4 linked regions of the Arabidopsis thaliana genome follow. The protein of the gene in region 3 purifies or fractionates together with the protein of the main gene of each other region. This does not show direct contact. Each region holds a gene or a part of one and is shown on either strand. Other genes may lie near its edges. The genes, in order: AT4G24820, AT4G34150, KRP2 and AT3G55760.

Evidence for each region.
Region 1: the proteins of KRP2 (region 3) and AT4G24820 purify together in Arabidopsis thaliana (affinity purification with mass spectrometry, with the first as the bait; one large-scale study listed by BioGRID). This does not show direct contact.
Region 2: the proteins of KRP2 (region 3) and AT4G34150 purify together in Arabidopsis thaliana (affinity purification with mass spectrometry, with the first as the bait; one large-scale study listed by BioGRID). This does not show direct contact.
Region 4: the proteins of KRP2 (region 3) and AT3G55760 purify together in Arabidopsis thaliana (affinity purification with mass spectrometry, with the first as the bait; one large-scale study listed by BioGRID). This does not show direct contact.

Annotation. Positions count from the first base shown.
Region 1 is NC_003075.7:12,787,149-12,795,501, forward strand, and holds AT4G24820 (26S proteasome regulatory subunit Rpn7), read right to left. Parts: upstream 5,575-8,353; 5' UTR 5,452-5,574; coding exon 5,313-5,451; intron 5,215-5,312; coding exon 5,100-5,214; intron 4,757-5,099; coding exon 4,666-4,756; intron 4,588-4,665; coding exon 4,442-4,587; intron 4,352-4,441; coding exon 4,132-4,351; intron 3,996-4,131; coding exon 3,887-3,995; intron 3,788-3,886; coding exon 3,619-3,787; intron 3,498-3,618; coding exon 3,323-3,497; 3' UTR 3,169-3,322; exon of another isoform or gene 2,921-3,168; intron 2,644-2,920; exon of another isoform or gene 2,451-2,643; coding exon of another isoform or gene 2,337-2,450; exon of another isoform or gene 2,220-2,336; coding exon of another isoform or gene 2,091-2,219; exon of another isoform or gene 1,903-2,090; 3' UTR 1,882-1,902; downstream 1-1,881. Other genes in the region: AT4G24810 (Protein kinase superfamily protein), read right to left, coding at 16-169, 288-406, 529-637, 753-863, 1,055-1,179, 1,269-1,397, 1,477-1,524, 1,666-1,860 and 2 more; AT4G24830 (arginosuccinate synthase family), read right to left, coding at 5,937-6,489, 6,818-6,906, 7,035-7,220, 7,310-7,384, 7,502-7,684, 7,792-7,840, 7,960-8,098, 8,217-8,298. UniProt on the Arabidopsis thaliana protein: Acts as a regulatory subunit of the 26S proteasome which is involved in the ATP-dependent degradation of ubiquitinated proteins.
Region 2 is NC_003075.7:16,351,990-16,359,394, reverse strand, and holds AT4G34150 (Calcium-dependent lipid-binding (CaLB domain) family protein), read right to left. Parts: upstream 4,539-7,405; 5' UTR 4,361-4,538; coding exon 4,315-4,360; intron 4,209-4,314; coding exon 4,104-4,208; intron 3,997-4,103; coding exon 3,870-3,996; intron 3,779-3,869; coding exon 3,707-3,778; intron 3,018-3,706; coding exon 2,972-3,017; intron 2,887-2,971; coding exon 2,577-2,886; intron 2,478-2,576; coding exon 2,440-2,477; 3' UTR 1,935-2,439; downstream 1-1,934. Other genes in the region: CYCD3;1 (CYCLIN D3;1), read right to left, coding at 91-414, 488-618, 728-929, 1,019-1,492; AT4G34140 (D111/G-patch domain-containing protein), read right to left, coding at 5,373-5,477, 5,563-5,784, 6,036-6,128, 6,233-6,322, 6,422-6,630, 6,778-7,053, 7,310-7,393.
Region 3 is NC_003074.8:18,797,111-18,802,968, reverse strand, and holds KRP2 (KIP-related protein 2), read right to left. Parts: upstream 2,664-5,858; 5' UTR 2,462-2,663; coding exon 2,135-2,461; intron 2,059-2,134; coding exon 1,997-2,058; intron 1,913-1,996; coding exon 1,745-1,912; coding exon of another isoform or gene 1,741-1,744; exon of another isoform or gene 1,676-1,740; coding exon 1,603-1,675; 3' UTR 1,374-1,602; downstream 1-1,373. UniProt on the Arabidopsis thaliana protein: Binds and inhibits CYCD2-1/CDKA-1 complex kinase activity. Regulates cell division which is crucial for plant growth, development and morphogenesis. May regulate early lateral root initiation by blocking the G1/S phase transition.
Region 4 is NC_003074.8:20,697,748-20,705,180, reverse strand, and holds AT3G55760 (uncharacterized protein), read right to left. Parts: upstream 4,868-7,433; 5' UTR 4,668-4,867; exon of another isoform or gene 4,554-4,667; 5' UTR 4,534-4,553; coding exon 4,008-4,533; intron 3,921-4,007; coding exon 3,277-3,920; intron 3,199-3,276; coding exon 3,008-3,198; intron 2,671-3,007; coding exon 2,295-2,670; 3' UTR 2,051-2,294; downstream 1-2,050. Other genes in the region: WLIM2b (GATA type zinc finger transcription factor family protein), read right to left, coding at 66-305, 406-507, 681-770, 864-898, 997-1,096, 1,248-1,382; AT3G55750 (Ribosomal protein L35Ae family protein), read right to left, coding at 5,628-5,669, 5,757-5,985, 6,359-6,394, 6,512-6,540; PROT2 (proline transporter 2), read right to left, coding at 7,024-7,401. UniProt on the Arabidopsis thaliana protein: Binds preferentially to highly ordered alpha-glucans, such as starch and crystalline maltodextrins.

The sequences.
Region 1 (8,353 bases), on a different chromosome or scaffold from region 3:
GTTTTCTTTTTTTACCTCAACCGAAATCTTTTTGATCGAAGAGTCTTCTGAGAAAGGTTGCAGAGTTGTCGTACCAGGAGGCATCTCTGTGTCGAACATTGTTTTTGCTAACTGGAGAAGCTCTTGTTGCTCATTCTTACACTTGGCTACTGTAGCTATACCAAGTTCCCTGAATTTACACCACAGAAACATCTAAGTAATAATCATATGCCACACTAATCCGATAGGTGACTAACCAATTTTCAGCTTCAATTAGAACCATAATCATGATAACAAAGTTATTTCACCTAAAGCTCTGTAACGCCAATGACGCATTGTTATCAGCGATGGCAATTACCAAATTTGCATAACCAAGTCTCAGGTGGTCAGGGAGTTCTTTCACTTGACCATAGTCCAGCAGTGCAACCTGATGACGGGAAACAAAGATTACAACTCAAAATATATAGACGGTACTAAAACGTATCAAAAGACCACAGTAAGTCAATTAAGAAACTACTAAAGAATAACTACAAACAAAAGATGACTTGCCTCTGAACCTTTACCAATCAAGATATTCCCAGGATGTGGATCCGCATGAAAGAAACCACTCTTCAGTATCATTTGGCCATATGCTTGGGACAAACTGTGTAGTATATTGCTAGAAAACAAAATACATTTTCCAATGCAGCATTAGACAAGATCCAAATGCTTTAAAAGCCGCCAATGCCATTGGAAAAAGTCAAAAACCTATCTGAGATAATGGAGGAGCTTACAATTTTGCTGCCTCTGCCATTTTACCATGAGGATTTATCCCTCTTTTTGCCATCTCATCACCAAGGCTCAAGATCGGGATTCCGTTCATGAATTCCATAACCAGAACCTTCCTGTGCGTATTATGATTATTCCTCTGATCAGCACTCATTAGTGAATATAACCGAAAATTAAAGAACTTTCGAATGGAAAGAGACTATGTCGAAAAGACAGGAACCATAATTCTTGATCAGTGAAACAGGACAACCTAAAAAGCCTTAAAACATTATTGGGATAACCAGAATGCTAATATAAGAATAAGTACCTGGTCACCAAATTTGGAAACACCCTGGGAACCAGAACAGGACTCTTTCTATTGTTATCATATAGAAAACGTCGGATCTTCTCCATTGCATTGGCCTCCCTTTTAAAGTCGAATTCATACCCAATCTAGTAAATGAAAACAAGGACTGATAGTGACTTGGCGGCTATAAAGTTCTTACCAGATACCCTCAAAATATAGAAAGAATGATATATACCTGCTTCTCTATTTCCTTTGTCATGGAGAACAAGTCAAATTTGATATCAGTTTTCTGCATGTATAATGCAAATATTTGCAAGTTTCTGATATCAACCATCATCAACTTCTCAACGCCAGGATGTTGGACCTAAACATGTCGTAGCACATTCAGAAACCAATTAAAAGTAGACTAGGAAGATTTCAGTTTTCTCCTCATTATTCCTCACCTTTACAACAACATCCCTCTTGTCACCCTTTACTCTTGCTCGGTGTACCTAGATAGAAGCAAAAAGAAAGTGAAATACAGTATATATTGAGACTTTCTTAACCAAACTATAATCTTATCTGATTTTATAAGCATGCACGGTAATACTGTACAAAGGTTCTGAAACTATGAGTGATGAAGAATGTAGTACCTGAGCAATAGAAGCAGAGCCAAGAGGCTTCTCATCAAATGTTTCAAACACTTGTTCGATGCTTTTACCTAACTCTTTCTCCAGGACAACTCGAACGGCATCAAATGGTGTGGCAGGAGCTTGATCACACAAAGTGACGAGTTTTCTCACCCAAGCAGCTGGAGCCAAGTCAGGTTTCCCTAGAATTTGTGCAATCTATTGAACAAAATGAAAAAAAGTAAAAAAAAAAAAAAAAAACTCATCATAAGCAACTGTGAACAATCAAAGAGTAAAATGTACAACCTTTATTCTCATCAAAGAAACAAAAAAAAAACTCATACTTTTTGTTACAACAAGATTTAAGATGAGTAATTCATAACAATCCCAAACGTGGAAGTCCCCTCTGGTAATCACAAACCTCAACAACAGTCTCAACACACCATTACCTTAAGGAAGAAACCACCAAGGTCAGAGCACATAGAATAAACTTTATGAGCAGCAAGTTCATGTTGTCTCTCCCACATCTCCTCGTGCTTATTAACATCCTTGACGAAGTTCATACGAAGTTGAAATACCTAAAAGCCCAGAACAAGACACAGATTGAAAGAAAATTGCAGAAAATCATAAGAAAAATGTATTACAAAACGAAACATGAAGAAGAAGAAAGGAGTACCCATCAATCAAAGAGAAACCTTGTATCCGGTGTAGATATCAGTGGCACGAGCCCAGAACTGAAACGATCGTTGCCAAGGCCGGAATCCATCAGAGAGCTTCTCCTGAATCTCTTTGAAATCGATCGCATGCATTTTCGAAGTTTTGAGGAAGAGTGATAAGGATGAGAGGATAAAGTTAAGAATTGTTTATGTATGGCGTCAGAGTGGAGTTTGCTGCTCTCTACGAATCCATTCGAGAGTGTTAATTACTGTTTCGTTAAATTGTAAAGGAAACAAAATCCGTTTGTCTTATGTCACACTCACTGTGAGTCACTGGTTATAATTAGGCAGGCAATAGAAGATAAGGTACTAATCTCCTCAAATCTTAAAGTAGTTTACAATGATGGTCTTGTTACTAACCCCAGACCATATCAAAAAATTTAGGAAAAAAGGAACTTACTAAACAGTAAGAAACAAATTGTAAATCCTATAAGTGTGATGGTGAAGAATCTCACCTAATTCACTAAACAGACGTCCGTGGAAGAAGAATCTGCAAAATACCAAGTTACCAACTACTGTGTATGTATCTCTCACAAGTTCAACCAAGGACTGTCCTTTAGATGTATCTAATTTGTGTTCAATTCTAACCATTCAGATTATGAAGTGTACTAATGCATTTTTCTTGGTATATCTATATGGTCAACTAATACACCTTGTGAAACAAAAGCTTTATTTTGTAAGAGGTATGGTGGTCGTTTTCTCTTAGATACTAGATAGATGCGATGAAAACAACAGATTCAAAAGCCATATGCGAGGAAGAATAAAATGAACATTGGAGATTAAACTTGCTCTTTGTTCTTGGGAAATTCACCACTGACAAACCAACTAGAGTTGATGAAAGAAACTACAGCCATTCATCTCAAAATCCAAAGTTCATATCGTTTCTCAGACCTTAAGATTCTACCGTTCGGAGTTTCCAAGTTGCAAAGCTTGACGAAAGAGTGAAACAGAAACATGTAGCATGCTCACAGATCGATCACACGAGACAGCTTCTGGATTCGGTTTAGCAAGAAATCCCCTTGCTTGATTGTTGCCTGGTAAAGTGCATTCTTTGCATCAGGACGGTTTGTCTCCAAAACACCTGCAACCTTGTCTATCTTACAGTGAAGCTTCCCAGCAGCAATGAAGCGCGACAACTCCCTGGATAAAAAAAAAAATACATTTCAAGTCAGATTTAAGTTTGTATTATCGTTTTTTTGTATGCTTCTAAAGAGAGGTGGCAAACATAAATATACAAAAGAGCGTTCATTATTGTGCTTACTGGTCTATGAAATCGACAGAAACGCCAAAGGCCTTTGCCATTGCTTCAACTGTCACACTTTTGTAAGATTCCAAAAACTGAGAGTACACCACTGTTCTGACTTCCCTCATGTAGAACCGGAAATGCGGGTACAAGTAACGGTCATACTTTATCTGCACCGCCATTCCAGCTGAGAACATAAGCCGACAATGAAGTTAGTAAACATACAGACAAAAGCCAAGCAACATGCATTCGGATGTATGACCTCTGGTCCTTGTAATGAACTTACCAAATGCTGAGAAAAACGCCTTGTACTGGCACTCATACAAGGAGTTCAGAAACTCAGAAAGGAATGGAATCTTCCCAAGCACGGTTAAGATCTCAGGTGCATCAACGACCTGTCAAATTAGTAGCACTTGATAAGAATTTCAACAAATTACATGGATATACATCATTTTAATAAGTCGACATACTAAAAAGTTTTTATCTAAGTTTAGACAACTCTAAGTGGAAGACTGAGCCATTGAGAAATACCTTTTGCTTAAGGGAAACTCTGTCCAAAGTTATGATGCTTGTCAGGACGGTGTAGAATATGAAGGTCTCATATGGAAAAATTTCATATGTTGTGAAGGTTGATATAGAATCCAGGAATAAGCTGGCAGCCTTCTTAAAATTTCTGGTGGACATGCAGTACAAACCTTCATAGACCTTTAGCCGGTTCTTCCTCTCCCAGTCACCACCCTCTTCAAACAATCTGGCAAGGGAAAACGGAAAGTGTTAATTCAAGGATTTCAGTTGCACTATCCATGAAGAGTAGTCAAAATACAGCCAAATTGACATTTACTTTTTTGCTTTGTCAATGCTCTTTGATACCAGATCAAAGTCCATATAGAAAAAAGCAAGTTGTAACGTATAAAACACCACGTCCATTTTTTGTCCAACAGCAACAGTTTTCCCTTCAGTGAGTTTTAGCTGCTCCAAAGCTTTCTCCTAGGATTACAAAACAAAAATTTAATGGCCACGATCCACGGAAGTTACCATAACTATCAACTTTGATATGCCACATACCTTATCACTAATCCTGATGAAATACAGAGCCTTAGCAAGATGAGCTTCACGAACTTCACTTTCACCCAAATTTTCTTCTGCATCTGCAATCCTGAAAAAAGTGAAAGAAAAGAATATGTAAGAGAACTTTGGCTGATAACATACTGGTTCAGAAGTTTCTACAAAGTTAAAGCGGAGGCCAAGATGGACTCAGAAACCAATGGTTAGGTAATGGTTATCTCCCTAAGAATACTAAGACATCATGCTACATCAGCTACCACAGGAACATGGAGATTCCCAAAATTCATAGTGGACTTTTGCAAACACAATTCTGAATCCAATTTGAGACCCAGAATGCTACAGTCCCCCTACATCAATCTAACCCAAAATACTAATACGAGAATTCGAATTTCAAAGCACTGCCAAATAAAAGTGAGAAACTGAAGGAAACTTACTTCTCGTCGAGCTTCTTAAGCTCCTCTTCATTAGCGGCCCGCATAGACTCTAACAAGCTTTGATCCAAATCCAGCACCGAAGAGGCAATTAGGGTTTCGTACAAAGGAGCCATACCTAAAATAAATAAAAACACCAACGAAACATCAGGAACATAAAATCTCGAAGAAATATTAAGCTAATTCTCACTGATTAGAGAAAAGGAGCTGCTTAACCATGGGATCTGATGAAATCCAAAACCTCAGACTTGAGCTGGACTTTCTCGATGTCTGGAACATCTGGATGAGTGAGGAGGAAGAGCTTGTTGGCTAGAATAAGGTGAGGCTGCTGAGATCCTTCCGCTCCACCGTCCATCGCAAATCGGAAAGCTTGAATCGGATCTGAGAGAGAGAGAGCAAATATATAAAAAGAGGTTTGCTTGAGCAAGGAGGAAGAGCTTACAAAGATTTCAGGTCCGATGGTTTTTTTTTTTTGTGTATGTAAAAAAAAAATAAGTTTCGCATTACCTTAAACACCCTTATCTTTTTTTACATTTAAATTTGGAATTTTTACCATAAGAAAAAAAAGTAAAAAACATTTACATTTAAATTCTCGTTATAAATAATTTAAACTTAAGATCGTTGAATTCAAGTAATGGATATTTATATTTTATATCTCTTTCCAATGGAAATCATAAAAGAAAGAGGCACTCATTATTAAATTTCTCAAGTTTTTCCAAAGTGAAGAAAGATGATAGAATTATTTCGAAAGAAGCTGAAGCTATGACGACGCATCACAATAAGGGATGTGTTCTAATGTCAGGCTCTCAATTCCAAGTAAGACATGAATGAAAACCATTTCTAGCTAATTTTCTTAAGCATAGCTCTAATTTTCATTGGAAGCCCGTAAAGACGAATAAACCCGGCTGCATCCGCTTGGTTGTAGATCTCACTCCCTTCAAACGAAGATATGTCCTGTCTATACAGACTGTTAGGACTCTGACGCCCTGTAACCGACACAGATCCTTTGTACAGCTTCAGTGTCACAGATCCCGTGGTTGTCTCGGTTATCTTCTCCATGAAAGCGTCCATGGACTCCCTAAGCGGATCAAACCATCTTCCTGCGTAGACCATCTCTGCATATTTCAGTGCTAATGTGTCTTTTACCTGAATACTCTCTCTGTCTAGAGTGAGGGATTCTAGTTCCTGTACAGCTGCAAAGAGGATAGTGCCTCCAGGAGTTTCATACACACCTCGTGATTTCATCCCAACCAGACGGTTCTCAACCATGTCAATCCGCCCAATCCCGTGCTTTCCTCCTATTGTGTTTAGCTCGGCCAGAAGTGTGGCTGGACTCAGAGCCTTCCCGTTCAGCGCCACTGGAAGTCCAGATTCTATCCCGATCTCGATGTATCTGTATAAGTGTGTAAGTATCAAAAGTTAGGATGCAAATTGCAAAATCCTACTCTTGGTATCTAAATTTGATAGCATAGCAGCTAAACCAGTTAACTCCTTTGAGAGACTTTAATAACGAGAACTCTCTATTCTAGATCTGATTCCCAATCCCAAACCATAAACAAATCCTGAACACACCAACTCATTCTGCCTAAACCTCAGCTCTGTAGCTAACTGACTCAACTTTAGTTTTCAAACTATCAACACAGCTATAATCCACTACAAACCACCTTGGGGTAATTACAGTGCATAGTTAAACACAAGGGCTCAAAGAAATTCCAACTTACTCAGGCTGATCAGGAGCATCTTCAGGATCCACACTCATCATGTACATATCTTTCTTTGGCTCGTTTGCTGGATCTTCCAATAGATCACCCTTTCAACAAAACACATAAGTTTGATATCAGAGCATGAGACACATTATTAGGAACTGAGCAATGTGACAAACTGGATCAATTTGTATCCAAAAGAAAAATGCGAACCAACACTTGTCTTTTACTTTACCTCATGACTAAGGTGCCACAGGTTTCTGTCCCGGCTGTAAATGGACTTCTTTGTCACTGGGACGGGAACATTATGCTTCTTTGCATACTCAATAGCATCTTCTCGGCCTTGGATTTCCCATTCTCTCCATGGTGCCACAACTTTAAGTTCAGGGTTTAATGAAAAGAAGGTGAGCTCAAACCGAACCTGGTCAATCAATCAGTACAAAAAAGTAATGTAAGAATCAATGCGTGTTTTCCAATGTGACGCATTAGCAAGACATTCCAAGTACTTGCCTGGTCATTTCCTTTTCCAGTACACCCATGTGCAACGGCATCAGCTCCAACCTCTGCTGCTACATCAACCATGGCCTAATCATTTAGAAAATGTATTAGTGACAATATGTAATCCAAAAGATATATCCAGATATTAGAAATAGTGGGGGTAGTCCTCACAAGTCAATCATATAAAACCATTCGAAATGTTACCTTAGCAATGACAGGTCGAGCCATGGAGGTACCAAGCAAGTATTTTCGTTCATAGATGGCACCAGCTCTAAGACAAGGGAAGATGAAATCTTTCACAAACTCCTCTGTGAGATCCTTAACGACCAACTGAGAAGCACCACTAGCCTTAGCCTTTTGTTCTAAACCCTCTAACTCTTTTATGCCCTTCACATCAAAGTATTTAGAGGTTGAGAAGACATAAGCAGATTGCAACAACATAAAACTTCATTTCTTAACTAAAACAGTTGACATGTGGCATTTTTGTGATGTACCTGACCAACATCAGCAGTGAAGCACACAACTTCACAACCATAGTTCTCCCTAGAAAACAAATAGTTACATATAAGGAAGGTCAGACTAGTTGTTTCATAACCAGAGGAAGATTCAAAACGTATTCTTGTTAGAGGTCAGAAATAAACTCAAGAAAAAGGAAAACATACTTAAGCCATGGCACAATGACAGAGGTGTCTAAGCCTCCACTGTAAGCTAGAACGACCTTTTTCAGTTTTCCACGAAGTCCAGCCTCCTTTGAATCAGTAGTCAAGGCGGTTCCATCACCGGATAGAACAGCTCGAATAGCTGTGCAATATTCAAGACAGCAAATTGTTTAAAACGTACTAATGGAAAATTTCATCAAGAGGGGATAAAGAATATATGTTAAAGGAAATGGATTGATTCAGTGTAATGCTAACTTTACCTTGATTCTTGCAGCTGCGGGATCCGGTAACATGACCGGTAACAACGGCATTGCCAACAAGCTGGCTTCGTTTCAGAGATAACTGCAAATTCAGTAAAAAGCAAATACAGAATTTAGTTGTATCATCGAAGAAACAA
Region 2 (7,405 bases), on a different chromosome or scaffold from region 3:
TATGCAAACGGGTAAAGCTTAATACAACAAAGATTGTTCTCAAAGTTTAAAAAAACAGTAAATATCATATAAACGAAATCGAGCTTTCGATTATGGAGTGGCTACGATTGCCCATGGCAGATGCAAAATCGGCTTCTTCTTCTCATTCTCTTCAGCTCCTCTCATCTTCTTCAATGGAGGTTGTTGCTGCGGGGACGACGACGACGTTGGTGGGTTGCACGAACTCGCTGACCACGAATCGTTTGAGCTTTCGTCGCTATTGAAAGGGTTTGCATCAATCACGCAGCTTGGACTGTTCAACGATGATGATGAATCGTGACTCTTGCGTTTCTTGGAAGATTGGATTTGGATCTGTAAACCGATGCGGTCCACTGGTAGTTGGAGGATTAGATCGTAGCAAGTTTTCACCTTTTCCTGTTAATGCACGAGAGTTGTTTGAGAAAATGACTGAGTGAAAACAAGTAGAGAGATGATTAGAGAAGCTAACCTTGGTTAAGTTAAGGACACCGAGGAGATTAGTTTGGTATGAAAGAGGGTCAAAGGGATCAACTTGCTCTATAATTCGCATCATGGTAGCTGCGGCAACTACTGATGGGAGGTACCCGACAAATCTTGAATCTGACAAAGACAATTGAGGAAGATAAGACAAGAATGTAAGATGATTACTCAGATTCAGCAGATGGTAAAACGAAATGGAGTGGCTTTTTTCTTTTTGTCGTTTACGAACCGGAGATTACAGAGAGGAGGAGACGGTGGCATTTGTTGAGGAAATCCCAGTGAGCATTGTTCTTAAGTCCCAATCTCCTGATAATGTGGTCTACGAACGAAATTGGAGTAATGAGATGCATCTTCCACTCGAGAGTAGACAGAATCAGTAGCTCCATTCTCTGTATGGTTTTTGCTTCAAACACATACTTTGTCTCCTCCACCTGCAAACCCCCAAAAAAACAGAGAGATGAGAACAGAGGGATAAAAGACTTAAACTTTAAGGAAATTTATTGCAAGTATCATCATTTACTTGAAAGTCTAGAAGAAGAGGGACTTGGGTTTCTTCGACTTTAGCAGCTAATGAGAGACACGCGACAGAAACGAGCTGAAGCATCCATGGTTTGTCTCTCTGTAAGCTGTAGCTACAGATGAACTTATCGAGATAAGTTATGGCTAAAACAGCTGCTAAAGTAGAGAAGCCATAATGAGCGTTGACTCTCAGAATCCAACCAACAGCTTCTTTTCGATCCGTGGAAAGATAAACATCATCGAGACAGCTGAGTCCTTGTTCTTCTTCTTTGGAGAAGAGTGTAACCAGATCTTCATCTTCCCAGAACAAATCTTGTTGCAAAACAACGAATGGAGAAGAAGAAGAAGACAAGGAAGAGTTTTCTTCAACTTCTTCTCCTTCATCGTCCCATTTCTCTTCTTCGCAGTAGAGAGCATCAAGAAGAAACGAATTGCTCTGTTCTTCTCTACTTTCTTCCTCCTTCCGAATCGCCATTGTGGGGGACTAAACTCAAGAATGAGAAGAAAGATAAGATCTTTCTCTTCTCTTCTATATTGTTGTTGATTTAGTTATTGGGTTTTGGCTCAGAGCATTACACGGAAGAAGATAAGATGATAGAGAGAAAATCTCTCGGAGAGAGACTCATCTTTCCTCTCTATGGAAACGTGCAGTGGTTAGCTTAGCAGGGGAGAGCTACAAAAGAGAGACTAGAGAGAGAAAGAGAGAGGAAAAAGCTGGAAGTGGGTTTCGGAGAGTGATAAGAAGAGAGATTGATTTATGAGAGAAGGCCGAGAGATGGTTTTTACGTTTGTCTTTTACTAATATATTATTTGTTTTTCTTGTTGTGATTATTTAATGTGGAATTTCTTTTTCTTTATTTTTTATTAAATGTGTGATTTCTTTTGCTGTTTCCCGCTTTACCCACTTTTTACTCATTTGGAGTAGAGATCGAGAAACCAAAGTGCAGTAAAATCTGTCGGCTAAATTCTACTACTTTTGGGCTATTTGTCAACAATAATGTTTTTGTTAGAACCTAAAGATATTGCTATACATTGACCAAATAACCTTTTTCTAATTGCATCTGATCACAAGTGCGATGATTATACGCCGATAAGTTCCGTTTCTTAAAGTTAAAGACAGAACCAAAACCTTTTTTTGTTTTTAACATAATTTTAACTCAAGAGGATGATGAACACACAAAACCAAGGATTTAGAGTAATAATTCAATATAATCTGCGATCTGGTTAAACATGAAAAGATCCAAACTTCTCAATAAGTTTCACTGACCAACTCAAAAATTAACCATCACGCTAGCAATAGCACAAGGAAGATGATATAAAAAAAACAAAACAAAGAAATTCGTCTGCCAAATTCTAGAAAACACCATAACTATAATCTATACATCATGACCACTTCCCGTCAAATTCTAAACGCCAAACGCTCTAGTATGGAGGAGGTGGGTATTGTCCTGGATATGGACCTGGAAACAAGAAGAAAAAAGATCAACCACCACTGACTATAGTTAGAGACAAGCAAATGCGATCAATTGCAGCATAGAACAGGAAAGAAAGGAAGGTACCTTGTGGGTAATATGATGGTTGCGGAGGGTATGGTTGAGGAGGGTAAGCTGAGGATGGCGGAGGAGGTGGGTAAGCTGAAGGGATCGGAGGGTAGCCCGAGGTTGAGGGAGGTGGATAGGCAGATGGCTGAGGAGGATACCCTGAAGCTGGAGGGTATCCTGATGGCTGAGGGTATTGTTGTACTTGTGGGTATAGAGATGGTCCAGAGTATGGTGGTGCTGTTGAATACGGAGATGCAGAAGGCGGTGCTGAGTATTGAGGTACGTGAGGTGCATACGGTGCTGATGGCGCAGACCCGTAATTATGTTTCTGCATACAAGAGTGGATTGTGTGTTTAGCCTTTTGTTTATAATGGAACATGTTAACCAATGTTGCTAATTGAGGCTCGACTTACCTTTGCTCCCGCATAATGCAGTAGGAGTTGTACTTCTCCAGCGAATCTACAAGACAGAAAGGTTGATGTTTTTCACAAGGCTTTTAATCAAAAAAGTAATCTTTTACAAGGAGCAATCGCTGAGGACAAGCTACCAAAATCTTGGCACATTGTAACCGATTTTCCAGGAATTTAAGAAAACAAAACACATAGCCATGGATTAAAAAACACATAACTTTCTCTTTTTCAAAAACAAAAATGGAATACCTCAAGAGACCAGTTTTAAGAAATTCTAATTTGATGCTACAATGTTTAAACGCAACTTCACATCTCTTTACTGAGGTAACCTAACAACAGACAATAGAAGCTCCATTTATGTCAAAATGTCTAGTTATCTTTCATAAGTTCCAGAGAAACCTAATCAAAATGCTACATCAATTGTGAGTGTGCTCAATGTAGAAACAGAACATTCGAACAAGTAGTTCACACAGATTAACAATTTAGGACACAAAAACACACATAACGACTCTGATCAGTGAGCAAAACCATGTCAGCACTGTAAGTAAATGACAAGAACAAAGCAAAGCAAAGCAAAGCAACTGGCGAAACTATATATTCAAGCACTATATAGTAGAAACCACATCAAAAAGTTGCACCAAAATCAGCTAGACAAATGTGAACCATGCAATAATCGAGATTACCAAACATGATACTTAATGGAAAAGGAACAAAAACTAGTAAAGCCAATGTAATTACCTCCCAGTTTTACTCTGCAAAGTCCAGGTACAGTCGTCGTATTCCTGAGAAAGAACTTTCTGCAATTGAATCCTAATAACAACCAAACAACAAAAGACTCAATTCCAAATCCAAAGCGGGTATTAAAAAGCATAACAAGGCAATGATAAGAAGTGACACATACGTTGCATTGCCAATGAAGTCATCAGTGGAGAGAGTGTTGCTATTCCAGACAGCAACCTTAAGATCCCTAAGCCCTTCAATCAAAGTGAAGATAAACTTCTCTTGGAAAACAGCGTTCTTTCCACCATCTGAAAAAACAAACCCATCAATCAAATTCATTGAAAGATCTTAACTTTGTTCAATTTTTTCTGGATCTGAACAAATTATGAATAAAAGAGGTGGTATTAAAAATAACCTGTGCAGGTTCTGGTACGGTGACTTCTGCCACCATACTCAAGGACGACGTATGGATCTTGTCTTGAAAACCATTCCGTGTCTTTCAATTTCTGGCACCCAACAACTGACAAATCAAAAGAATCCCAGAAATTTTAAAAGTTAACATTTCAACGGATCATAGATAAGGTTGAAGAACATAATAGAATTGGGGATGTGAGAAAGGTACGAACCAGTGACCTCGAGAATCTGGCCTTGTATACCCGCCATCATCGACATGAATTTGGAAGAAAACAATCGAGATTGAGAAAAAGAAGGTAATGATGAAGATGATGAATTCAGAGAGATAATTCCGTGACGTGAGACTTTAAATAAAAATAAAATGGCGACTTTGATTGATGATGAAATAACGCAGAACTTGCTTTCAAGAACCAGACGCGTCTCGTAAGGCGTTGACCGTAATTTTGACTTTTCATTAGATTTAGGTACGCGTTTTTTAAATATTATTATTTCCTTAACTATTAAAGTCTAGATGTTGATAATCTTTGATTCATAAAATCAAAATTTTTACAAACAATTACAAGCACAACCACACAATAGTGATAATTCTATGGCATGTCACCATTAAAGATAGATTCACGACAATCAATAAGTAAATAAATATAGATATAGCTTCGCTTTGTTATTTGCTAGACACCACTTATTATCTTGTGGATGATATTATAAGGTGTGGCTGAAGAACGGAGACCAAAATAAAGGGAGTGTCTTTCTTATGTATTTACTAGGATGCGTCCAATGGCATGATGGTTATAGATTACAGTGTAGCTGTTGCAATCATCTTGGTTCCTTTGAAAGTTCTAATATCATCAGATGACAGACAAAAAAAAAAAAAGTTTCCCCTTGGAACAAGTCATCCAAATATAAAGGCAGTAACCTGGAAATAGCTTTCTTTGTTCGTATAATTTTTGTTCAACGTCGCGCCATTTCAAAAAATTGTCGACCAAGAGAAAATGGACCATAAATCCGATATGTTGTTTTCTTGATACAGTTCTATTGCTTGGTCCAATAAAAATCGAAACCAACTTGTCTATTGCTTGGTACTTCGATTTCTCATTCTATTTCTCAAAATCAGCAAGTAAATGATTCTCAACTCTTACAAGTCTAGATGAAATTTAGCTACCTATTGCAACCTCTCTTGTTATAAGCCAATCCAAGTTTATATAGTAACTCAATTTCTCAAGTAATATATGAACACTAAGAGTCCCTTAAACTGAATATCTTGTACCTCATATTATTTCCTTCTCCTTTGAGGAAATCCTAGCCCTACATTCCCAGTGTTGCCCACTGCTTGTATCGGTTCAACCAAACCTTTTGTATTCTTCCCTAGCGTCTCACCCTGCATTAGCATTTCCCCAGTAATCATAAATTACGGTGACACCAAATAACATCACAACTCACAAGTGATAAGATCCACAAGTTACCTCCTTCCAACCCATGTTTCCCATTATCCTCCTTGCATAACTTCCAGATCCAAATGATAGCTCCAATGCTTCTGCTACAGTATCCTCTTCAGAACCAGTGTCGGGAACTGAATGCTCGTCCGTGTTATGGTCCACTGTTGTTCCTTTTTGACCTGGTCCAACACCATATCCACCATGCAAATTTCTTCTCTCAGCGGCTCTATCTCTGTATGAACAGCTTCTCTGCTGATAAACAACAAGGAGCAACAATGAAAATACTAGCTTACTAGGGTTCTAATAACACTAAACTATGCCTTCGAAATACTCTTAACAGATTTAAGTTTCTCACTGAATTTCCCCATACACAGAGCTTTAGAAAAATGTCTCCTGCTAGATATTGTGCAGAAGTTCAAGCAGCAGGATGTTTACATCCTTCACAAACATTCTGAAACATAAAATACAAGAATCCAGCCATGAAGGTGAGGTCCGAGTACCTCTTCAATCATGTTGACTTCATCTCGTGGCTTCACTGTGAGTTTGCAGTCAGTTTTTGGTTTCACCTTCTTAGCTTCGCGTTTTGTCTCTTGCTAGATATTTGGCAAAAATTCAAGAAGCAGGGTGTTAATATCCTTCACAAACAGTTTGAAACAAAAAATAGAAGAATTCAGCCATGAAGATGGATTTGCAGTACCTCTTCAAACATGTCGACTTCACAAGGCTTCACCGTAAGTTTGCAGTCAGCTTTTGGTTTTACCTTCTTAGCTTTGCGTTTTGTCTTCTGCTAGATATTTGACAGAATCTCAAGAGGTGTTTACATCCTTCACAAACATTTTCAAACATAAAATACAAGAATTCAGCCATGAAGGTGGATTTGGAGTACCTCTTCAATCATGTCTACTTCACTAGGCTTCACTGTAAGTTTGCTGGCCCTTTTTGGTTTCCCCTTCTTGGCTTTGCGTTTTGTATCAGGATTTTGCCATTCAGTTGAAATATCAGGGAATTCCCAATCTTTTGTTGGGTTGGAGGCGTCATATACTGACAAGGATGCAAGGTATTTGGCACTAGGATTTCGAAGTTTATAGACCTGACCTGGAATAAATCATTTGAAAATCAAATTCGTTTTCTACGTTTCCCCATATAACAGAGCACACCAGGTTAACAAAAATCGATTGCAGCAACACAATATTTATTCACATTTCACAGGAACAAGGCTCGGTTAGAAGGAAAATGGTAAACCTGTCCTAACTCGCACTAGGTGAAGCCGAGCTTCACAAATTGGGGCAGTTTTTAAAAGTGTGCCACCAGAAACCACAGATGGATGAAGGTTCGCCGACTGTCTGACCAGCCTCCCTACTAACCTAGCCACCTGTTCATTGTCAGCTTCTCTGGTTTCACATACAAGTTTCCAATCCCACAAATCAACAGACGGGATCTCAGGCAGGGTCTTCCCAGGGGATTCGATGACTTGACCATATTGTGCTAGCCATCTTTCTTCCTCGCTTGAAGGAGCAGCTAGAAATGAAACAGTGAGCATGAAAGCTATGAATATGAGCCGAAGAAAACACATCATCGAAGTAATAAGATCCCCCTAAACAGCACTACGGGGGTTAGTTAATTATTTCAAATTTTAAGATCAGCTTACGAGAGAAAAATACTATCCACCATGAGGAATAAGGATTTATTTAGCTTCATATATCAAAAACCATGACCAAGAAAGCTGATATGGAGCGGAAATAAAGCAAATGAAAAGAACAGAAGAGATAAAAACCTTCACCAAAGTTCTCTTCTTGTGGATCAAAATCTTCTTCAGGAATCCATTCTCCCTCTTCAAGTTCCTCAGCATCATCATCTCCTGGAGAACAAA
Region 3 (5,858 bases):
AGAATTCAGTTTCTCGAAATTTTGTATATAAATAATAATGTAAGGAAGATATATGATCATATGAATGGGCTCAGAATAATTTTAAAGGGACTTGTTGTTCTGTGGAACACAAGATTGACAAAGGAATCTCTATATTGGGCCCGTAGAGTCCAACTCATAAAAACGAACAAGTGGAGAAAAAGACTCCAGCTCTCTTTACCACTTATTGACAAAAACAAAAAAGAAGAAACAAGAAAAGAGTAAAATCTTTGCCTCGTGGGTTTTAGTGTACATTCTCGCATCTTTGTGTTGTGTCAGTTTCTTTAACCGATCAGTACAGTACGACAGTTTTAAACATTTTAATCATAACCTCTGAATTTTCTCGTTGAATCTTGAGTTCTAGTATTTTTAAAGTAAGAGTGATAATAATGACAAACAAAAAAAAGTACTCCGTAGAAAAGGAGAGACCAAAATTAAAGGAGGAAAAAGTTAATAATAAAGCCATTCTTGGTTTAGGAAATTAAGAGAGTTATGTAATAATGGCAGAGTTTGGTATGAAAAGATTTGTGATTGACCATTTCTTTACTCGTAGAAAGCGACCCGGAAATAAACACCAATCATATCTATCTGTATTTTTTATTTTTTTAACAAATAATTCTGATCTTTAGATCCATTTTTTGGTCCAGGAGTAGCTTTAACTATGTAAATCATTTTTCTTACAGAGATTTAAATGACTCAACTTCATTCTAACTTCATTTTTCTAAACAAATAAGTTCTGATCTTTAGGTCCATTTTTTGGTCCAGGACTAGTTTTTAAAGACCGTAAATCATTTCTCTTACAGAGATTTAAATGACTCAACTTCTTCTTCTTCTTCTTCTTTTTTTTGGTTGTTGCTAATCGAGTATAAATTATAGGCGTTAGGTACACCAACCATATCTAATATCCATGTTATATTAGATAGATAAATTAGGAAAATAAAATAATACAACTCAAAATAGTTACTTTGTTGAAAGAAATTGAGAGGGAAAAACTGGAAGTGTATATTTAAGCTATTTTATTTTTAAAAAATATATAATTTCAAATAGCTAAATTTGTAAAATGCAAGGAGATAGTACAATATTTTAGTTTAATAACTTGTAAAGCACAAACAAGTTCGTAGTTAATCACTAGAGTAGCACCTACAATCCAATCCAAGTGAGAATAAAATAGTAACTTTTTTACTGAAAAAGCCTGATCAATAAACAGTTATATTCCTTTACCACGTCAGCCGTGACCCTTTTTTGTTCTGCTCTACACTCTCTTTTCATTGTTAAAAAAAAAAAATCAAATACTGTATGATAATTGATACATAGAAATAATAGAAGCTATTTAGTTTTCAGTAACAATTATAATTACTCTTAGAGTTATAAACTTATAGTTTATTAATCGAGAAAAACACGAATCTAATTAATTACCTCAAGGAAGTACAAACAAAAGTTGAATTACATGTTATTGATTATTCGAGAGAAAGATATCTACATTTGGATTTTGTTAAAAGAAAAATCAAAGCAAAGATTATTACAGAAGAGAAATAATAAGTACTTTGGTGAAAACAATGATCATCATTATCATCATCGTCTTCTTCATGGATTCAATTTAACCCACTCGTATCTTCCTCCACCAAGTGGCTCATCTTTCTCGAAATCGAAGTTATACCTAACAACAAATTCATTATCAGTTTCAAAAATTCGATTAAAAGATTTGAATCAAAAAAAAAAAACTTACTTCATAGAACATTCCAACAACTTATTCCGAAGATCTTTCTCCGCCACCTGAAAAAAGTCTTCTAACTCAGCTTCCTTCACCGTCTCATGGAGACTCTTCCTTAACCTGCGGCGAGACTCTACATCTTCAACAGCCACCGAAGAAGAATCCATGTTCATCGATTCCTCACTATACACAAAAAAATCAAAGACATTTTATAGAAATGTTTGTTACTGATTCAAAATTTTAATATCTGTAACAAATTAAACAAACCTCTTATTCAAATCATCGTAAATCCACGACGTTTCTGTTTCACGATCGTCACCGTTATTTTCCTGGAAAAACGAATTCAAAAATTTCAAAATCTGTAAATCAAAATTCAGTTTCGATAAATAATGCTTTCGTTGTCACCTCAAGATCTACAAATTCGATTCTCCGTTTCGATTTCTCTTCCGATGTAGAACAACACGAAACCGACGAATCTTCTTCTTCGATTTGACACTGTTCTTCAACCGGAGGAGAATCTCGCCGTCGTACTATAACAACACTCGTCTCCGACGCTCCTGCTGAATTTCTCGCCACAATTCCACCGCGATTCGTCGCCTGTACACACGGAGACAGAATTATCCTAGATTCCACTAAATCCACTTCCTCCTCCATCTTCCTTCGTTTCACCGTCGTCGTCGTAACTCCATTCTCTTCAACCACATCTCGTTCTCTTCTCCTAACCGCCGCCATAATCTCCTACGACGTCACCTTCCAGATCTCTATCTCTCTCTAAAATCACTCGTTATGTGTGCGTGTTTGTGTTTCTCTCTCTTTCTCTCTACTAGAGAGTCTCTAGCTCGCGTACCATTTGGGTTATTCTGTTATAAGATGGTGACGATCTTCGTTTTGATCGTAATTTGTTAACGGCCACGATTAACTCTTGTCATTTTCATATAAAGCCTCGTGTGAAGTAGGAATAGTAATTCTTTTAATATGTAACGGAGAATTTGACGGCGCCGTTAAAAATCGAGTATTTTATACCTTACACGATTGATACGTGTCTTTTATTCGTTACGATTACATTAATAGTTTCAAAGTTTACAAAATCAGTGCAATTAGTGCATATCTAGTTACTTTAGAATGATAAATTTTTTTGAATTCAAATTTTTTTGAATTAATATGTTGTTTTTATTTATTTTAATATAATTGGCTGGCTTTTCCAATAAATCAACGAGAATGAAAATAATTATTGTGGATATTAAGATAAAACTGTTTATTTTTTGTTATAATAATTACGAATTTATATTATAAAGATAACAATAATACCATCAAATTATCATATTAATTCACAGACGATCAAATAGATAAAAAAATGTGTGTAAAGCAATATAATGTATATGCAACATGGAATTTGACAACGATGTTATAGATCGAGTATCTTATACCTTTACACGATCAACATATGTCTTTTATTCGATGTGATTACATTAACGGTGTCAACGTTTACAGAATCAGTGCATATCTACGACTACGTTAACGGTGTCAACGTTTACAGAATCAGTGCATAATTTTTTTTTTAGAATGGTAAATAGAATTTGAATTCAATTTTTTAATTAATATGTTTTCTGTTTTTTAAAATAATTGGTTGGTGTTTCCAATGAAATAGAATGAGAATAATTATCGTGGATTTTAAAAATAAATTTAGATTTGATAATTTTTTGTTGTAATAATTGCGAATTTAGATTATAAAGACAATAAAAATCTTAGATTTATAGAGAAAAATGACAATATCATCCAATCATCTTAAATAGATTAAAAAAAATGTGTGTAAAGCAATGTAATGTTGTCACGTTACATTATTAGTGATAATATGTGTTTCTGTGTTAAGATCTTATCAGTATTTGACAATGTAGTTGTGTATAGTTTTTCAATGCATAGTCGTAATATTTCAATTTTGTGAGGGGGTCGACCGTACACATATCAAAATAAGGTATAAAATACATTAAGTCTAAAATACATTAAGTCTAGGGCCATGACGTATTTAACGGTTAGGTGATAATGAAATCAATGCTGCGACATGCTGTTTTGTTGTGGCAATACAATACGTACACAAACATATTCACATGCTTAAATATTACTACTAATTCACACAGTGAATTAAATACTACTAGTTCATATCGCATACATTTCGTTGGTAAAAATAAAAGAATTTTTTTCCATCATCATTTTCGTCTTATATTGAATTTTTTCTTTTTTTTTAATGCCGTCGTTCTGTATCGATTCTTGAGTTCACACAAGACAGTGTCTGCGCATATCCATCATACCATTCAATTTAATAATGTGCCCACGAGCTGCATACTCAATCATTACTAAACTGTCTCTCTCTTTTTTACACTCACTATAACAATGTGTAAGTATATATACATACTTATGAGATATTCAAAATAAAATAGTGAGCTAAACATATAATGTAGTTTAAAAATTCGCATAATATATGTTGTTGACTTCAAAAGAACAAAGATTATCATAACAATTACTACGAAAATAAAATTATCATATATCTATGTATACATCCGTAGTTCTTAATTATGAAAACTTAAACGCTAGTACCAACAAATGAATCCCTAAGTTTTAAAATCTCTCAATGAATACATATTGATATTCGTTTTGAAGGATAATTTTCGATTTAAATTGTGATAGTATTTATCGTAAAACATTACTTTTAGATATGTCCCAGTTTTTATCCAAATATACATAAAGACTGTGCCTATCATGAAAAGTGAAATTGCAACACATCTAAATATATCTTTCTAGATGGAAAAGATATCCAATAAAAACGAAAAAGACTTAAGTGAATGCAGACAAGGGCACATGGGATCTTTAGTGATTTGTATTGTGTGGGCACGAAATTTTATAATCCATAAAGTCTATATCATGATCACAATTTGTAATCACGTATAAATGTTACTACAAGTCTCCAAAGCACTTAAACCCTTTAACAAAACAAAAAAAAGTCTCCAAAGCACTTTCTATCGTTTTCTTACAGTTATATCAAAAAGACAGTCACTGATTCAGAGTTTCATAATCATTTACAATTATAGTGTAGAAGAATGCAGTTTAATCTTGAGTACATAAAAATACAGCAAAATGACTTAAAACCGTATATAGTGTAGACCAAAATGCGAAGCAAAATTGCCGTTTCTCCATTTCTAAAATTTGAAGATGGCTTAAGTTTAAAATAGTCGTTAGTATGAGTGTTTGATTAACGAGTAAAGTGATAAGTAGTAAAGTATTATGTTGAGTAAAAAAAAACCTTTAACTTCACATTTTTTTTTGTTACTTGCGTGATCGAGTGTAGTTTTTTTTTTGTTTTTTTTTGGTTATTTTATCTGATCGAAGAATGGAACCTTAGTTATATGACATTTCATAGTTTTGTCTGTTTCTTACGAGATTAACGTAATTTATAAATTCAATTTGTGGGGATCATGTATAGGTGCGAAGCTACCACATGATTCACAACCACTGTTGGATTGTCAAAACAAAAAGATAAAAGAATGATAATTGATGGAGGTGGGTGGACCCAAAGCAAGGCTAAATATATTCCCAACTAAAACATTAATTAAATTGATCAAGCTAAAATGTATATATATTCTGATTTCTCGATCTGATTTACATATGTTTATGCGACCCCAATAATGTCCTTTTATGAATTAGACAAGAGTTCTTATGGTATTTATGTATTTAGTATTTGAAGTTTTGAACATAAAACAAGATCGACTTAATTACCGTAAAAGACAAAACAGAAAAGAAATAAGTTGATAAACTACTAACTATTCAGAGAAAAACAGGATTAATTTCATTTTTTTTCCTTTTTAAAAATGAAGTACGAAGTCTATTTCACAAGAAATTAAGAAGATTAAATTGTAGTAATGAACATGTCCTTCCCCATTATATGTAAGCAGTCAATGAATGATTGGAATTTGGAAACTTTAACGTTACTCTGACTCATAAACTTACTAAGAAAGGTCCACATTAAGAATATTATCAAATTGCATTAATTAAAATTTTACCTAAAGTCTAAGTTCGTAAAAAATTGGTTTTGGGAGTGTTCAAGGCTAAGCTCTTGTGTCCATGCATGTTCGAGTTT
Region 4 (7,433 bases), 1.9 Mb from region 3:
AATCAAACTGAATCAGTTTGGCATTAACTTCAAATTTTAGACTAGAGAGGAGAAATTATTGGATTTTAAGATTCAGGAACGGAGGCTGCTGGTACACCGGCGGCGACTGCTGCGGCTGCAGAGCGTTTGATGGAAGCGGATTTGATTAAGTGGTTGTAACTTCCCTTCTCCTTGAAGAGCTGAGCGAAATGGTGCTTGCAGTACAGGATTCCTTCAAGAGCTGCGTAGTTGGAAGGTGAAATTGGGCAACCTCCATGTGAGCACTTGAAGCAGGACTTGTGATATGTCTGGCTCTCGACTGTTACCTGCATATTTCAGAATCGAAAAAGACGGATATTTGTGACCAAATAGCTTTTAAAAATCCCATAAAGAGTTTTCATATTAAGTCTCCTTTATAGGTTTAACATGCAAATTAAAGTAACAAGAACCGATATCTCCAGGGTCTATGCATCTGTGCAAAACATTTGGTTTCCTTGCAAGTTCTCGGTAACTGAGGGGATTATGTATCTATCCTCAACATGAAATAGAAAACACAGGAGAATTCTTGCAAATGATGGAACTGTGTTTTAGAGTAATACTCCAACATAGACCTTAGAGTGCAGAAAGGTGATTCCAAAGCTTCAGTTAATGGAAAATGCATGAGTGAAGGAAGAGCAATGAAAGATTAAACGAGTTATAACCTTTTCAATAGGATACACAGTTTTACTACAAGTGGCGCATTTCTCTTGTGTACCAGAGAACCTGCCAGCAACTCGGCTAGGCGTCCTTGTCTGAAAACAAACCAAGAAGGAAATATAAGAGAAAAGTTCAATCAGAAAATGTATCCAAAGAGCATCTGACCAAACCAGAAAAGAAACATTTACCAGCTCAGGAGTTGATTTGTCAGCCGATTTTGCAGCTGTGAGGAAACAAAGTTGCAAGACTGATTAAATCAATAACCAAAAGAAGGGCAAGCGGAAAAAAAACATGAATCGAAGCAGAAACAAAACTACATACGTGACTGAAAGTTCTTGTTGAAACTACCACTCTCCTTAAAGAGCTGCTCAAAATGAGGCTTACAGTACAAAACACCTTCCATTGATGAGTAACTACTCAGCTGTAAAAAGACATTTACTTTATCAAGAGCTGCTTATGGTTACAATAGACATTCAATTCATCATTTAAGCAAGAAGATGGGTAATTCGTAAACTCATTCCTCTAATTAAAGCAGCATCGTTAACATGAATACAAAGATGAGAGAATCAGACCTGAAGCCTGCTTTTGCAGTGAGTGCATTTGAAGCAAGACTTGTGATATCCAACTCCATCAGCAGAGAGAAGCTCAACAGCATAAACAGTCTTCTCACAAGCCTTGCATTTCTGTTGAGTTCCTGTAAAAGACATCCTCAAAGCCTTGCCTTCACTTTTCTCACCTTCTTCTTCTTTTTCTCACCCTAAATTTCAAAAAACCCAGAAAAAATGGTATAAGAGGAAACCCCTTTGGAAAAATCTTTCCTTTTTCTAAATATTCGAATAACAAAATCGATCCATTGCTAATTGAAACAAGATTGTATCTATACGAAGCCGATCTAGATAGAATGAGATCGTAAACCTTGAGAAAGTTTATCACAAAGTACGGATCTAATACCTCTCCTTGAGCTAAACCCTGTCACGATCTGATCCTCAAAAGAAACTGCAAAAATACACGAATACAGATTAACCAGAGAAAGATTTGAGAGATGTAAGGATGCAAAAGTCAACTTCTTTGTAGAGAGAAGAGCTGTTACGTATATCTCTCCCCAATTAACGAAAAAGGAGGATCTATGTGACGATGATGAGGACGAAGTAGAAGAAGAAGATGATACAGCAAAGGAATAAGAATATCGGAGATTTTGGGTAAAATCCTTTTCTTTTTTTTAATCTTTGAGAAGACAGTGGGTGGGGTTCCACTTTGGCTTGTCCTCTGTATATTTTTTTTATTAGAATTTAATACAAATGTAACTGAAGATTATTATTGGTTACAGAAAATATTTGTCTTCTTATCTTTACCAAATAAAGAGTTTAGATTATCTGTTCATATAACTTTATGCTCCTGGAATGGAATGTGTTCCAGTTTTCTAATCAGATTTGTGTTATATTAGTAACTACCAAATAAACTTTGGCCATACTCATTAAGAAACACCAAAGCATAGAACAAATTAGAAGTCATAATAAATATTACATACATTGCACTTGATCAAACTACTCTAATATTGTAGGCCAATTCTTTGATTGTCCCAGCTTATTTATATATTTTATGCTTAGTATTTGATATATCTAGGACATATCAGAAGGCTTCTTAACGGCTCGGAGCTGAACAGAGTTGTCAAAACAGTGGAAGAAGCCAAAGTGAGGGAACTTCTCATACCAAGTTTCTTGTGGTACATGTGTGTCCCAGTGTTCACCGCTGCTGCTTTTTCCGTATTTGTGAACCCATCCTGATCCGTTGTGACCTTCTCCCCAGCTTCGGTTCCATCTGTCGCCGTGCTTCCCTTCCCACCAAGTCTCACCTTGTTTCACTCCTTGAGCGCTCGGGTTAAAGTTCTCGTCCCATTTGTCTCCCCATTTGTCCCAACCGTCACCTACCCACCGTTCCGCCCACTTGTCTGTGTACTTTGTGCTTCCGCCTTGCCCGTCATACTTCTCTCCCCACCTGGTCAAAACCAATCAAGACATATTTAGAAACACTCTACATTCCCTGTTATTTGGTCACAGCTTGTCTAGTGTCAGTTCTGTTTTGATAACAGTTCAACAAAGCTCGCAGACTAAGCTTCTAAATGTTAATAGAGCACCTTAAAGAGTATGAAAAGGCAATGTTTTGCTACTGAACTGATTTGATGTTCAACAATATAAGGTGTAAAAGTTAAAGGACAAACATTCTAACTTGTGTTAAAGAGATTGATTGATATTTTAAGGACTGAAAGTTAAAGGATAAAGATTCGATTATGTTATTAGTGTTTCGTTATGTGAAAAGAGGATTTTGAGAATACCTCTCGTGCCAGACATGAGCGTGGCCAGCGTCAAGAGGCGTGTTGCGGTCAATGCTGCACCACTTATGAGCCCATTTTTCTGATTTTCCGGTAGCATCGTAATGCTCCCACCATTTCTCTTGCCATTCATCACCTTGTCCACTCTTTCCCCATTTGTCTGCAGTTTTCTCCATATGCACAACACCATTCTCCTGTAATAGACAATTCAAATTAAGTCTCAAATAGTCTATAGTGCGTTAGATTTACTACGGCAACTACTTTACACTAACCTGGCTCATTGACTCTCTCCAGAACTCACGCCACACGTTTCCAGTGGCATCACGTCCTGATTTCTCAGAACCAAGTTCCTTGAACCCAAAATCATCAGAAGCCTCCCAATACTTATCTTGCCACTCAACAACACCATCAGCAGTAACCCCACGTATCATTGTCCACCTGCAAACCACACCATCAGGTCTTTTCTCCACACCCGTTTGCTTCCACCACTTCAATCCATCTTCGCTAACTCCATGCGTTGAAGATTCATCCAAACTATCAAGAACACGAGCTACTTCTTCCGCGTTTGCTGAAGATATGAGATCAAGGTCATGTTCTGTCGATAAAGTCTCGGAGCTAGGCTTCGTCTCAGCCTCTTTTCGAACCTCAATCAAAGACTCAAAAGGCGGGATAGTAAAGCTATGTCTTTCAGAAGAAAGCATACTCTCATATGGTATCGAAAGAGAATCCGCTGATTTATCTTTCTCCAATACAGGATTTGGCAAAGTTGGAAACTCAGCAGGCTTTTCCACAGCCTGCAAGTCCACAGAACTAATTTCACTACCTTGAGGAGGTGTCCATGACCAAAAATCTGGTCCTGGTGTCTCAGTCCCTGAAGTTTCTGACCGTGGCACATACACTGTTCTGCTCCACATTCCTAATAAAATTTCCAATAACATAGCCAAGTAAGGTGACTAATACTATCATTAACTTTGGATTGTGCTAACAAGTAGAAGATTTGTACCAAGTTTAGCATTTTTCGGTGTCTCTGTGACTTCACTTGTGACAGTGTTGTCTTCATTTGGGAATCCTTCTTTGCCGTCGCCGGAATTGTTAGAGGCGAGAATAGCTCTAGCTGCGGAGATTGCGGCAGCGGCACGATCAACGACCTGCATTCGCTGAATCCGATCTCTTTCCTCAACGGAAACCTCGAGGATCTTCTGAAACTCATCGCTCTTCTTCTCCAAGTCTCCTCCTTTCTCCTTCTCACCATCAACAGCTACAACATTCTCTGCAATTTTTTCAAAGGCCTTCTCTTTCTTCTCGCGATCAACAGCGTTCTTCCACATATCGAGGTACGATTCGCGTCCTTCATTTGAAACCCTAAGAATCCTCACACCGGTTCTACTACCCCTTAAGCTCCTCCGGCTCGTAACCGGTGCGGTGAAATTCACAGAAGCGGAGAAGTCACGTTGTCGTACTCGTTGTCCGTCGTCCCAATGAGAGGAACCCAAAGCTGCCCCTATAGAAACACCTAAACGCAAAGCCATTTGTTTCTTCTTCTTCTTCGCTTGCAATTCCAATTACAAGGAAGAATCAGTTTTAAAAACTTGTAATCAAAGAGAAAGGCGAAACCTTTGTGAGATCGTAGGAAAATTAATCACAAAGGAAAGATTTTTGTTACCTCAAGTTGAGCTGAGTCAAATCAAGATCTGTCCTCGAACGAAACTCCAAAATACACGGAAGAAGAAAATGATGCAAGCAAGGAATAGAATCTCGAGGATTGTGTTTAAGGACACAGTGAGTGTGGGATTGTAACTTGTGTACTTTGGCTCTCTTTTTTTTTCTTATGTCGGCACCAAATATCTGGTACTTCTTTTTTTTTTGGCGGGTGGTGCCAAATAAATGGTTTATTTGATTGATTAACTGTGTAAATTGTAACTTTTTGCATCATATTAATCATTAATAAATGGAATCAGTATAACGAAGTTACTTAATATACCAACTAGAATTAATATTCCAAGAATAAATTGATTTAGTTGCAAGAAAAAGTCTACATTGGCTACTTGCTAGTTATAGCATGAAGGAGAAATGATTTCTTTCATCAACACTCAAATTGGAGAAAAGGTTAAGGGAATAGAGTAAGAGAAATCTAAATAAGGAAAATGACTGGGATCATAGCTTTTCTCAAGTTCCATTAATACTCGATAGTATATGATCTCAAGAAAAAAAATGTTTTACTTCGTCTCAAGATAAAATCAAAACCAACAGAGAGTCTAGAATAAAAGTGAATAGATAAAACTACAGCTCCTGAGAAATGATAATGGCGATTCCTTCCGATACTTGTTGAAATCTAGCCTCCTGCATTAGGAAATCGAATCAGGATCCATGTTCACTTAAGTATATAAATCTTGGACAATCTATTATACTTAAAGGATTATAATCTAATTGCTCTTAACTACAATGCACAACCTTTCAAATAGATATAGCCTTGTTGACAAGGTTTCGCCATTAGAGAAGAAAAATGAAACAACTAATCTTAAATCTCAAGTTACAGAATCAGTGGTGTTCAATTCAACTGAAATGAAAGCAATAAATGGGACTATTGCATCAAAAATAAAACTGAAGTGAGTTTGTTATTACCTCATATGTTGCTAGGGTACATGAAGACTCTGACTCTAGCTCCCTGAGAGTAAACACAGCAGATCAAAAATGATTAGTCTGGAGGAAAAAATCCAATTAACCATGATTATGTCTCAAGAAGATAAAGTACCATTGACTTGGGTGGTAGGTTTGAAGTGAACTTAGAACGGACAACACCACTGTTACCATGAGGCCTAGTGACTTTGCCCCAAATGCAACGGTAGTGAGAACCGTTCTTCTTTGTCTTTGCCTTGTAGATGTAAGCCAAACGCTTACCCTTGTACCAATTAACCTCCTCTTGAGTGTTCACACCTTCAATCTGGACGAGAGAAGTGTTAGGGTATTGGTTCGACTTGGACCTGAAACATTACTTAATCGTTAGTAATCAATCTTTAATCCGCTTTATATAAGCAATCAAACTATCAACCAACTGCTTAAAAGCTAATCTTAAAGGAAGCAATAGCAAAAATGCATCACTTTGCACAACCATAAATCAGAAACCATGGAATAAGATTACAAATCTGAGAGCATTATCATTGAAATCTATCAGTTGTGGCAAAGTTACAAACTTTTATCGAGATCTTATATTGATATCCAAAACGATAGATGAATATTCAAATCCAAATAACTTAAGAATAATGAAACTAAACACTACAATCTCCAACCATAAACGCAACATTGAACTCTGAAAAATCTAAGAACATACAGAGAAAGACTGAAAATTGAAAGTACCTCTTGTAACCGAGGACTGTTCCACGAACATACAATCTGCAAAACAGCAAAACAAAGATGTCATCAGACTAATGTAAAGCACTAACGAACTAATTCGAATCGGAGATTCAGCTGAGAAAATAGAGAGAAATATGTGTTCGAAACCCTAATTACCTAACTCTCTCTCCTTGACGTCCCTTCATTTTCAATCCTTGTAACTCTCTTCTTCCTCTTCTGACTCTCTTTTATGCCGGCGAGCGATTTCACAGAGAAAAAACCCTAGCTTTCGTTATTAGGTCAAGACTTTATATGGATTCACAAATAAGCTCAGCAACAAAACTCTATTGGGCTTATATGCTATCTCAAACAAGTTGGCCCAAACGTTTATACGGCTTGGCCCAAATATGGCTCTGCATAAGAAAATGATTATTTATTTTCTTAATGAATATGGCTTTGCTTAAGAATATGACTACTTGATTAATTTCACTTTACTTTTTTTTATATCTATTTATCTCTTGAATTGTTTTGTTAAAAAAAAAATTTGTGTTGAACCGAAAAATAAATATATATATTATGTTATAAAAAATTTCTTTCATTTGAAATAATAAAAGTAACAACAAAAGGATTACAAATTTTTTCTAATTGGTATAAAGATTACATCGTTAAAAATGTCGAAGACATTTTAATCAAACATCAGCAAAAACATGGAAGTTCTTGGAGTCAACAGAGATGAGTCTAACAGCAGCAATAGCAGCAGCAAGAGACATTAATCCAAAGAAGCAAACATTGAGCCAATGCCATAGCTTTTGCACAAGACTAAGCTCATCATTCATAGCAACAAGATACATGTGATTCGCTAATATGAATGTGAGAGGGAACGTGCTTATCGCTCCGGTAAGGCTCATGAAATCTCCGAGAAACGGTAAAAGCGCAGAGAGAAGAGTGCTCACCGCAATGTAGCTTCCTCTTGCTACTGTTCTAAACAACAGATTCTTCATTGCCAATGGACTTCCTTTGACTCCATACTTTGTGTCCATATACTCATAAGTCGGACTTGCAAAAATCTACGTTAAAAACACAAGAATTAAAACGGTTA